3 linked regions of the Oryctolagus cuniculus genome follow. The protein of the gene in region 2 binds, or shares a complex with, the protein of the main gene of each other region. Links are inferred from orthologs where the notes say so. Each region holds a gene or a part of one and is shown on either strand. Other genes may lie near its edges.

The links. The genes of interacting proteins can lie anywhere in the genome.
Region 1: the proteins of DOCK5 (region 2) and ELMO1 are in contact, whole or in part, in a cryo-EM structure (PDB 8JHK), measured with the Homo sapiens proteins. The link is inferred for Oryctolagus cuniculus from reciprocal best matches to the Homo sapiens genes DOCK5 and ELMO1. Residues at the interface, in NP_079216.4 of Homo sapiens: Met1, Ala2, Arg3, Trp4, Val14, Ala15, Ile16, Tyr17, Asn18, Ser22, Gln23, Gln30, Ile31, Gly32, Asp33, Thr34, Glu39, Tyr41, Gly43, Trp44, Arg46, Tyr48, Lys56, Ile58, Pro60, Glu61, Thr62, Tyr63, His65, Leu66; in NP_001193409.1 of Homo sapiens: Ile7, Val8, Lys9, Ala11, Tyr18, Pro19, Leu21, Glu23, Glu36, Asp39, Gly40, Ser42, Asn71, Gly72, Gln392, Asp393, Leu400, Glu401, Lys468, Arg531, Glu535, Leu536, Lys539, Leu547, Gln550, Gln551, Asn554, Arg555, Asn582, Thr688.
Region 3: the proteins of DOCK5 (region 2) and RHOG are in contact, whole or in part, in a cryo-EM structure (PDB 8XM7), measured with the Homo sapiens proteins. The link is inferred for Oryctolagus cuniculus from reciprocal best matches to the Homo sapiens genes DOCK5 and RHOG. Residues at the interface, in NP_079216.4 of Homo sapiens: Val232, Phe345, Asn393, His394, Lys395, Gly396, Trp400; in NP_001656.2 of Homo sapiens: Ala121, Pro123, Leu126, Arg127, Arg128, Lys130.

Annotation. Positions count from the first base shown.
Region 1 is NC_091447.1:27,806,376-27,810,636, forward strand, and holds the start of ELMO1 (engulfment and cell motility protein 1), read right to left. Parts: upstream 3,060-4,261; 5' UTR 2,749-3,059; exon of another isoform or gene 2,561-2,748; intron 1-2,560. UniProt on the Homo sapiens protein: Involved in cytoskeletal rearrangements required for phagocytosis of apoptotic cells and cell motility. Acts in association with DOCK1 and CRK. Was initially proposed to be required in complex with DOCK1 to activate Rac Rho small GTPases.
Region 2 is NC_091433.1:48,826,812-48,830,600, reverse strand, and holds part of DOCK5 (dedicator of cytokinesis protein 5), read left to right. Parts: intron 1-353; coding exon 354-454; intron 455-2,433; coding exon 2,434-2,492; intron 2,493-3,179; coding exon 3,180-3,334; intron 3,335-3,789. UniProt on the Homo sapiens protein: Guanine nucleotide exchange factor (GEF) for Rho and Rac. GEF proteins activate small GTPases by exchanging bound GDP for free GTP. Along with DOCK1, mediates CRK/CRKL regulation of epithelial and endothelial cell spreading and migration on type IV collagen.
Region 3 is NC_091432.1:63,071,796-63,075,045, reverse strand, and holds RHOG (rho-related GTP-binding protein RhoG), read right to left. Parts: upstream 1,918-3,250; coding exon 1,342-1,917; 3' UTR 760-1,341; downstream 1-759.

The DNA of each region.
Region 1 (4,261 bases), on a different chromosome or scaffold from region 2:
ACCAGGAAGTGAGGCATCTGGACATGTGCTGAGGATACAACAGAAGCAACATTTGCAAAGGCCCTGGGGCTACAGGTAAAAAACGTGTTTCTGTGCATGTGTGCTGGGGAGTACCTAAACACCAGCATTAGGACCACTCAGCCTACAGCCCAACTGGGTCTTGAGTTTCTCCAGAGCCTGCCCCTCCCTGACACCCACCAAGCTTCTTGCCCCTCCGGACACAACCCCCTGCTCCTGCAGAGTCCCTGCATTGAGGATCATTTCCTCAACACTTACCAGTCCATCTCATTTTTAAAAAAATTCTTGAGTAATAAATATAGTAGGAAAGAAGGCAAGAGGCGCATTTAAGAGACAGGAAATGCACCATCGACTGTCATGCCGCCAGCTAATGCCCAGAGCAGCTCAAAAGTCTTCACTGTGACTCATCTCCCGCTCAAGCCCACCACAAGCACCTGATGTTCCTATCAGGCTTTGCATCGAATTCCCGGGAGAGATGCACTCCCAGCCACCCTGGCCTAGTCCAGACCGGACTGCAAGAGCAACCCTAGGCCGGTGGGTCAGCGCGTACCAAGTAAAGTTCACTCCTCGTGTCATTTTAATACTGAGGTCTCTGCCTTATGACCAGAATGGGCAACCTGTGTGAGAGCATGTTCCTGAACCTGTACCCAAAGCATGACAAGAACACCCCCTCTTCCATCCCTAAAATAAAGGCTACCTGTGTCTCCAGCTGGTGAAGTCACAGCTCTGGAAACGAGTCCCCGTGGTCTCCTTTGCTGCAAATAAATTACTTTGTGTGACAACTTCTGGTGCACTTCTTGACTGAACCCGCCAAGTGGGCCCACAATTTGGCATGGGTTAACAATAAGAAAGAGCGAGGTTCAAAGGTCAGCTATAAAAAAAAAAAAGAATTCTGCCACCTGCCTGCAGAGGATGTAGCCTTTAACTTATGGCCCCCAGGTCGGTAACTGGGTGACAATAATCCTTGAAACAACCTTGAGAAGTGGGCATGGAGGTGAAAGAAAATGCGAAAAATTATGACCAGGGAGGCCATTAACAATGGCTGCTGGCAACTTTCACAATCATAAAGAGAGTGTGAGTGCCCTGGTCCCCCGAGTTCCCCAAGGGGCTCTCAAAGAGAGCATTAATTGCTTTTATTTTACAGAAGCTGAAACAATTAAAAAAATTCCTTCACGGCCCCATCCACTCCCACCCCCCAGAATCACAAACTCCTGTCTTAGGTTCCCCAAGCCTTAACCTTAATGCAGAAGGTTCGCATCACTCCGGGCCAGCGGCCCTGGCAGGTCCCTCCCTGGTCGGGGGCGTGGGGGCGTGGGGGCGTGGGGAGGGGGGGGGCAGGCATCATGAAAGGCACTCAGGGAGTCTCTGGAGCTGTCCAGAGGCCCTCAGCGCGGGGTCACCACGGGGCGCCAAGCCCCGCAGCCTTAGGTCAAGCGGGTCTGGCGGTCATCAACAAACAGCTGCCAACTTCAAAAGGTCCCCAAGCGGGCGAGGGTCACTCGGCGGGGAGTCGGCGGCTGCGGAGCTCCCCCGCGGTCACACACACAGGCGGACGCGCGTGCACACATACACACACACACACACATACACGCGCGCGCAACAGACACACGCGCACAGACACACGCGCGCGCGCCCGCGGCACAGCCCGGACTTCCCAACCCCAAACACACGCGCGCACCCCCGGGCCGACTGAGTTCTCTATTTTCTCTTCCTTACAGCGACTCAGGCGGCCGCGGCCGCCCAGCTCCGCTTGGGCTCCAGGCCCCAGGCACTCCGCCCGCCGTCTCCCTTCCCTGAAGGCGCGCCCGGTGCGTCCCCTCTCCCGAGCCGGGATTGCCATCGAAGACCACCCCCCTCGGCCGCGCCAGGCCGCCTTTCCCGGTCCCAGCGGGGACCGCGGCTCGTCTCCAGGTGGCGGGTACTGGCTAACGAGAGCCCCAGGCGCTCCCGGCTGCGCACACCGCCCCCTGCCGCCCCTGCGGGCCCCCAGCCCGGTAGTAGCCCATCACTTCCCCCGCCCAGGAGCGCGCTCGCCGGGGGATTCCCTCCCATCGCCTAGTGCCGAGAAAACCCCGGCGTCGGCGCGGCCAGCCGCGTCTCTCTCACAGCTTCCCGGGTCTCTGACCCCCGGGGATCCTGACTCCAAGCTCCCAGCTTCACACTCCGCGGTCCCCAACACCCCTGTGGCAGCCGCGCGGCGCGCCGGCGCCCCCTCCAGCCGACCCAGGTGGAAACAGCCCCGCGGGTTCCCGGGCCCCGGCCCTGCGCTCCATCCCCGACCACCTCTCCCCGCCGCCCGCTCTGCCCAGACTTCGCCAACTGCAGGGCGCCCCGACGCGCCCGCAGCCCTCACCCGGCCAAGCGCCGCGGCCACCCCCGCGCCAGCCGCGGCGCCCCCAGGGAGGGAACAAAAGTGTCTCCGCGGCGTCCGGAGTCCCCCGGAGCGGGACGCCTCCCCCGGAGCCCGAGCCCCAGCCCCCTCCCCGGCCGCGCTGAGGTCAACGAGTCAGGGCGCGGCGCCAGCCCAGGAAACTTTACGAACCTGCCCGGGGTCGCAGGACAGCGGCGGCGGCGGCGAGGGCTCCAGATACCAGAGCTCTAGCGACCCGCGACTACGGAGCGCGGTCCGGGGGTCTGTCGCTCAGCTCCGGGCCGCGGCGGGGTGTGTGGCTCGGGCTCTACCCCGTGCCCATCCTCGCCCGCTCCTGCTCGCCGAGAACACGCACTTACACTCTGGGTCGGCCGGCTGCTGCGCCGCCGGCTGCTGCTGCTCTCACTTCCTCTTCCTTCCTCCTGCTGGCCAGAGACACATTTTGCATCTGCAAGGCATCCCGAGAGCAGCCGCGAACTCTCCTGCCGAGCGGACGCTGCGGAGTTGCCGCCGCCCCCGGCACCTGCGCCCGGACACGCGTGGTTGGCGCGTTCGCCTCCCGCCCGCGCGCGGGGCCTGCCCACCGCACTTGGCCTCGGAGGCGGGCGTGGGGTGGGGGTGCCCACGACTTTTTGAAGTCCCCCTCCTTAAAGAGAGGGAAATATCAAACACCGTGCATGCCTCAGATCTGCTATAAATAATATGTGTGCGGAGCATGACTTTCCCGATGAGCTCACACAAGGCGTTTTGCAGGCACTAATTAACTCCGTCACCCTCGTAGCGCCACCTCCGGGAGGCCGAGAGCGCGTGGCATCTTTTTATATGCGTTCATTTTTGGCAAGGGGTTGGGGATTTTGAGGGGAAACTTTGGTGGGCTGTTACAGCTACTTGAAGAGGCTGGTGTGTTTGTTTTGACGCCGTGCCTCTACCCTTGGACGGCGTAGCAAAAATAACAGCAGAGCGTTTCCTCTGCCTCCCTAGTCACCTATGCGTTTGCTGACCCCGTAATTCAAGTCACAAGGTTTACTTCTAATCCAGTGATCCAGGGACTCCCTCACTTGGCATAATTTTTGCATAAAGCAAGAGACGTTCTGCCCCCCAATTTGGCATTTAGGAAAAAATTTTTAATTCATGCAACCTTCCTGAGTCATTTTTAAAGCAGAAATCTCGCGCGTTAGCTCCCAGCCCAGCTGGCAGAAGGGGAAAAACAGTTGTTGGAAGGTGGCTGGAGAAATGCCTGCCCTCCCCAAATTCAGAAATGTCTACATTGGCTCCCCGGGAAAAGGCATAGGCAGCTGCCGTGCAGTCGCTTCTAACCGGCAAAGAACATAAATTGTTGGCAGGAGGCAGCGGACTGTAAGGTGGAGGGCCATGCTCCCAGTGAGGCTCATTCTGCACCCCTCCCCCTCCCCCCAATTTTCACATTGGGATGATGGCCTTTTAGCAGCCCGGAGCCACAAGTAGGTGCTGAGCCCCAGACATGCGCCTACTGTAACTGTAAAATCTGCACAGGACTTAGTATGAAAAACGGCATGTACACTAGCGTGCTAATTTATCTTTACATTGATTACGTCATTTCAATAAATGACAATACAGTCCTTTAACTGTAATGGGTCACGGGTTAATGTAGTGGGCTGATATATAAATACACACATATATATTTGAAATTACCATTTTTTAAAATGCAGCTTCTAGAAAATATAAGCATATACACATGGCTCTCATTAGTGGATCACATTATATTGCCAGCTAACAGCCCTGATCTAACCCCTTATTCTATGCAGAACTCCAGGAGGCAGTATTAGTAGCAGGATGCCTGGGTCTAGCTAATTTTAAGCCAGTAACTTAAAGCAGGGTTATCCCAGGGAAGTA
Region 2 (3,789 bases):
TCCTGTAAGTATTTGCTAGTTCAAAAGTTTGGCAAAATTTTAGGCTTTTGATACATGTTGCCAAACCACCTACTATAAGTAGACTTCTTCACATCACTTTTCCTTTATCCCAAAAGTAAAGTATAAAGTGTAGATTTTATAATAAATAAATAAATAAATAAATAAGCTCAATATTAAGTCTCAAAACCTTCAGAACTGAGTAATTGAAACCCGAGAAAGAAAAAGATGTCTTTTGGATTTTCTTTTGTTCTTTCATTAATCCCTGATAATGACTTTACCATGTGGTGTTGATTTATCATGGCCCTTATTCATGTTTTCTTTTTCTTTTTGCCCACGCAATTCATTTTGAATAGCTCTGGAACAATTACTTCCATTTGGCTGTAGCATTTCTCACCCATGAGTCCCTTCAACTTGAAACCTTCTCACAGGCCAAGCGCAGCAAAATTGTAAAAAAGTAAGTGTCCTTTTAAGCTTGTTTAGGATTGGAAAGGTGATTCTTCTGTTCATATTCAGAGCAATATTGTTGCTATCACAGAAATTACTATTTAGGGGCTACTCGATGTTGTTAACAAAGTAGGTCTTAAATCAACCATTTAGTAGGTTCAAATTCCCCTGGATTCTCATCTCTTTCCTCAAGGCCCTGTGTGACTGCCCTCAGTCCTCCCATGCCTTCTGTAGAATCTATACAAGCAGAGAGGCTCCTGGAGTGGCTAGCACTCTGTCCCCCAAGAACACATGCCATCTGCTGGTGGCTCCTCCCAATTACAGGCATAGTGCCTCACTCATGCTTCACAAAAAGCCAACTCCTTTGGCAGAGGAGGCAAGACTCCAGCATAACCTAAAAATGTCCTCCAGACTCCTGGGTTGGCATTCAAGATGGAATTATGTGCAAGAGTCCTGAGAGATTTATGGACACTTTAGTGCTTTCCTCTCAGGTCAGCTTCAGAGTCAACTGAAAGCTGGGAAACTCAAAGACTGTGCAGTTTAAAAAGCAACTTGAGAGATGTATCATTTAGAGAACTTCAGAACTTGAATTCCATTTCCCTTGCTAGCTTGTGTTCGGTTCTAAGCAAGTTCCTCAATACTCCCGTACCTCTGGCCCCTCCCTAAACACCTGAGTTACTGGCTGAGGGACTGAGATTTACTTAGTGACTTTGTTTTGAAAGACTGAAGTATAACCTGGGAAGTTAGCCAATGCCAAGTCTGTCAGTGGCTAGGTAGGGTTAATGCTTCTAGTTTTGGTCATGCAGCAAAGTATGACTGTGAAGACATTTTTAAACATCAGTATGCATATGGGCAAAGATAAAACTTAGGAAATAAAACCAATTATATTAAGGTTATAGAAATGTGAATGAACTTTTATTTCAAGCTTTCCCTTATTTTTAATAGAAGTGTATCAACAGAAGTATCAATAACAATAGTAGTTATCATTTATTGTTCCTTATGTACAAGAGTTGGACAACATATATTTCTAATACTATTACTAAATTGGGATATTTTTGTTGGAATGGAATGGGTTTCTGTAGGCATTTCCAAAGTAGAAGTTTGGGGAGAAAATATGTTCAGGGCAATCAGCATGAGTAGAATAAGGTAGACTGGTGGTGGTAGGATGGGCCATAGGCATGTGTTAGAGCTCCCTGGGAACATGTACTCAAAATCATTTCACCCTCCCCACTTCCAGTTCTGTGTTGTGGGGATGGCCTCAGATGTATGCGTGCCTTAGCAGAGTTGCAGGTGTTTCTGATTCACCTCCACCCAAGAATCTCATTCTAGAACCAGCAGAACTCATTATCAGCTCTGATAAGGAGCCTTTTTAAGACATTATTTTTCAAATCATACCTTCCATGAAATTTTAATGCTACAGATAGATTAGTTGTTCATTGATGCACTCTGTCTATACTGCATACATAAAAACAGTAAGCTTCCCCCACCCCTTAAAGCCAGTCTCGTCACTTTGGAGATAGGATTGCCTCTGTTGAGAATGCTGGGTCTAGGGCTGCCCAGTGTGAGTGCCCTGAAGAGCACAGTGGTCGGGTATGTGTTACCTGAATAGGAGTGGATGAAGTCAGCTGTCAGTGCCCTTACCGTGAAGTCATACCCTTCACCTTCATTTGTGCTTCTTGTTTTGCCCGTTTCCTTCTTGGCTTCACAGCAACCAGAGTGTTTCTCACTCTCCCTTCCTTCAGTAAGTTTGTTAATCTCATATTCTCAGTTATTTTTCAGCACTGGGCCCCTCCTGCCATTCAGTTCCCCCGTCCCCATATGACTCAGTTCTCTTTCGGGGCTTGTGTTGGTATGGGTCTCACCTCTTGCAGACAGCCTGCCTTAATGTGACCCAGAAGGACATGGGCTATTTTTATCTTCCATATCTTTGTATATATTCAGTACATTTCTACTGCAAACGCTCTTCTTGGTTTATGATCTTCTTCCTAGATATGGGGACATGAGAAAGGAAATCGGCTTTAGAATCCGGGACATGTGGTATAACCTGGGTGAGTGTGTGACCTTGAACAGGCCCAAGCACAACTGCTGTGTATAAGAATTCTCTTTTTATTTAATCCATAAGGCCTTGAGCTTTATTTATTGATATGTGTGTATGGAAGTAGAAGTTGATTTTTGGGTTTCACACCCTCATCTGCACTGGGACATTGACCGTGAATTGTCTGTTATTGTAGCATCCACACATTATCAGGATACTGTATTTCACTACTCCTGAATGGAGCTGATGGATCCATGTAAACCTTTTCCTTATTTAAAAAAAAAAAAAACATTTATTTATTTATTTTAAAGACAGAGTCACAGAGAGGCAGAGGCAGAGAGAGAAAGAGAGGTCTTCCATCTGCTGGTTCACTCCCCAAATGGCCACAACAGCTGGAGCTGGGCTGAACCCAAGCCAGAAGCTTCCTCCAGGCCTCCCATGTGGGTACAGGGGCCCAAAGAATTGGGCCATTCTCCACTGCTTTCCCAGGCCATAGCAGAGAGCTGGATCAGAAGTAGAGCAGCCGGGACCTGAACCAGAACCCATATGGGATGCCAGCACTGCAGGCGGCAGCTTTACCCACTACACTGCAGTGCCGGCCCCAAACTTTTTCTTTTCTTATGGGCCCCGTGGAGTAAGACTGTAGCGCATTACATACTGTGGAATGATTTTTTAATTTCTTCATTTACTTTCATTTCAGGTCCCCACAAAATCAAATTCATCCCATCCATGGTGGGTCCTATCCTGGAGGTCACTCTGACCCCTGAAGTAGAGCTCCGGAAAGCCACCATCCCCATTTTCTTTGATATGATGCAGTGTGAGTTCAATTTCAGTGGAAATGGCAATTTCCATATGGTAAGGAGTGGGAGAGCCTGGATCTTACCAATGCACAGAGAATCAGCACTTACTTATGTGGGAAGCAGCCACCTGATAATACCAATCAAAGCTGATCTGAAAATTCGTTTTCATGTTTTCTTTTTGTTAGAATTTCACTTAAAGTTTCTTTAACTAGTTCATTGATTTTGTTTATTTGAAAGGACAGAGAATGCGAGATAGAAGTGAGATCTAATAGTTTATTCCCCAAATGCCCACAATAGCAAGAGCTGGGCCATACTGAAGCCAGGAGCCAGGAACTCAATCCACATCTCCCGTGTGGGTGGCAGAGACCGAAATACTTGAACCTTCATCAGCTGCCTCCACATTAGCAGGAAGCTTGAATTGAAAGGAAGTCAGGACTTGAACCCAGACACTCCCAAATAGGTTGTAGGTATCTCGAGCAGTGGCTTAACCACTGTGTTTCTTTTGTAAAG
Region 3 (3,250 bases), on a different chromosome or scaffold from region 2:
AAGACCTCCCTCCTTTGCAATGGTAAGGAGTAGAAGGGTCAGAGTCCTCAGGGCCCTACCCTAAAATGGGCTACCCACTGGCCTCCATCTTCCCACTGCTCCAGATCCTGAGGTCTTTGCATTGTACATTTTATTCCAAAGGAAAATAAATTTTTTTTTTTTGGCCAACAATCTGGCTTAGGCTTGCTGGGTTCATCTCCTTGTCAGATAGGAACTGAAATAAAGGTTGGCTTCAGGATGAGGGAATAAGCCAATGGCAGGATAGGATTCCAAGTGGCCCCCAGTTTAGGCATGAGGTCTCCCAGGGCTGACCTAAGCCTCTCTTTTGGTGAGTGAGAAGGGCTGAGCCATCAGTTCCAGGCCTGGACGCTGGGACAACCTGGCAGTCTCTAGCTGAGGCAGATGCCCTGGGTTCTACCTCAGCTGGTCAGTCCAAGGGGACAGCTCCCAAACGCATGACTGTGAGAGCACTTGCCTTCTGGATGGTAGCTTTCAACCACTCCCTTTCCAACCCTAGATCAGGAAGTCTCTTCAAGCTTTGCATCCTGGTCCACTGCAGCATCTGGGGATGGACCCTAGAGCAAGACTGGCTCCTCTGAGAGCCCAGAGCTTTGTTAGGGAAATTGGGGGGTGGGGGAGACCACAATGAAGCTTATTGTCCCCTGTCCCCTCTTATAGAAAACAAAAGGTTCCCAGTCTCTGGGGAGCCCTAGCCCATGCCCAACCCCTAATCCCCAGCACACAGGGAGGAGCCGGGGCCACTGGAGACAGGAGGTTTTATTGATGCTGATGGGGGTAGGAAAGGCCCCCAGGAGCAAGGGGGCTGAGTCAGTCAGCGGATGCGTAAGGCCTGGGCACATGGGGGCAGGTTAGGACACATTCATATTCTCAGGATTCTATGGCTCCTTCCTGGGGGAAGGGAGAGAGCATCTGGGGAGGGAGGGGCACTTTTAGGAGCGGCAGGGGCAGAGGTTAGAGATGGCTGAGAGCCCCTAACCTGAAAGGAGACACCACAGGCAGCAACAACTGTGTGGAAAGCTGGATCAATTGGTCAGTAGCAGAAAACGGGGAAAGGGGCACTGGACTGGCCTCTTGGGGAGGGGTCCAACCTCAGCCTGGGTGAGCTCATGAGAATACCTGGTGTTCCCAAGCAGGGTGGGTGAGGCCCAAAGCCCCTTCCCCTGCAGGCCTCCTTAAGGAGAAAAAAGGCATTCAGGGAGCCCCCTGGCAAAGGGTGCCAGAATTAGTCCTTAAGGCACAGCTGGGGGCAGACAAGGCACCAAGGCACAACTGGTGGCGGGGGTGGGGGTGGGGGAGCAGCCTCCAAGCTGAGTGCCAGGGTCACAAGAGGACACAGGACCGCCCACGCTTGATCGGTGTGGGGTTGAGCACAGCCCGGACAGCCTCGGCAAACACTTCCTTGACGCCGTCCTGCTGCAGGGCCGAGCACTCGAGGTAGCGCACAGCGTGGATCTGCTTGGCCAGTGCCTGGCCCTGCTGCGGTGTGATGGGCGCCTGGCCCTGCTCCTTGAGGCGCCGTAGGGTGTCAGGCTGGGCTCTCAGGTCCTTCTTGGTGCCCACCAGGAGGATGGGCACGTCGGGGCAGTGGTGGCACACTTCCGGGTGCCATTTGTGCCGCACATTCTCGTAGGAGGGCGGGCTGGCAATGGAGAAACAGATGACGAAGACGTTGGTCTGAGGATAGGAGAGTGTGCGGAGGCGGTCGTACTCCTCCTGGCCCGCAGTGTCCCACAGGTTCAGGTTCACTGTGCGCCCATCCACTGCGCTCTGGGCACTGTAATTGTCGAACACCGTGGGGATGTACTCTTTGGGGAAGGCATTGGTTGTGTAGCAGATGAGCAGGCACGTCTTGCCCACTGCTCCATCACCCACCACCACACACTTGATGCTCTGCATTGTGGGGGCAGCTGCTGCAGTGGAGGCAACGCCTCCTCCCTCTCCTGGGCCCCTCTGGGTATAGTGACCTGTGGACAGATGAGAGGGATATTGTTGGTTAGAGAGGCCTCTACCTACCGAGAAGAAAGGATGAAGGCAGACAAAGGGAAACCAAGTCCTGTTCCCTTAACCTAACAGCAGCCCCCACCAAGACAGACATCAGAGAGACAGATGTGAGGCCTAGAGACCAAGTGAGATGCTTCAAGAACACAGTCCAACATGGGGGGGAAGTTCATGAGCTCTGGCGCCAGACTAAGGTCAAACCCTGGTGCTATTTCCCAGCAGTATGATCCTGGACAAATTACTTACCTTCTCTATGCCTCAGTTTTCCCATCTATAAAATGGGGGATAAGATAAAACCTACTTCACTGAGTTATCATGAGGACTATTTAATATATGGAAAGTATTTAAGTATCAGGTATTTTCCTGTTTCTCTAGGCAATGTAGACACAGGAGAGTACGTAAGGATCTTCCAGTTCCTCTACTAATATGCAGCCTTCCCACTCTGGGATGTGGCCGGGGTGGAACCTTTCCCAGCTCAGGGTCCACCCCACACTGATGTTTCAAATTCTCCAAACCTGACATCTTGGCTACTGAGTATGAACCAAAGAGCGCAGTGAGAAGCCCACTAAGGAAGGAGCACTGCTGCCCTATGCCAATCTAGAGTGCTCTGGGATGGGGGGACAGGCCACCGCCATCATTCTTGTAAGCATGAAAAGCCCTGTCTGGCAGGAGAATGTTGGAGATTGAGCTGTGGCTGGGACCTGGACTAGAATCTGGCTGTGTTCCTTCAAAGCAAGTCAGGAAGGGATGAACAGAAGGGCAAGACAAAAACTTAACTTTTCTCCTCAACGTGTCCCTTTCCTGAACCATGAATATGTACCTATGAAGAATATCAGGGCCTCAGGTACAGAACACAATGCCACCAAAATGCCATCACTGGGGCAGCATTGTAATGCAGCAGGCTAAGCTGCTGCCTGCAATGCTGGTATCCCATATGAGCATCGATTCGAATTCTGGCTTTTCCACTTCCAATCCAGCTCCCTGCTAGCACACCCAGGAAAACAGCAGAAGGTGGCCCAAATACTTGGGCCCCTGCCACCCACGTGGGAGACCTGGATGGAGTTCCAGGCTCCTTGTGGACATCCGAGGAGTGAACCAGCAAATGGAAGATCTCTTTTTCTGTCTCTGCCTCTCTGTAACTCGGCCTTTCAAACAGATAAATAAATGTTTAAAAAAAAAAAAAAAAGTCATTGCTGAGAACTGGATACTAAAGTCTGGTGGGCAGGGATTC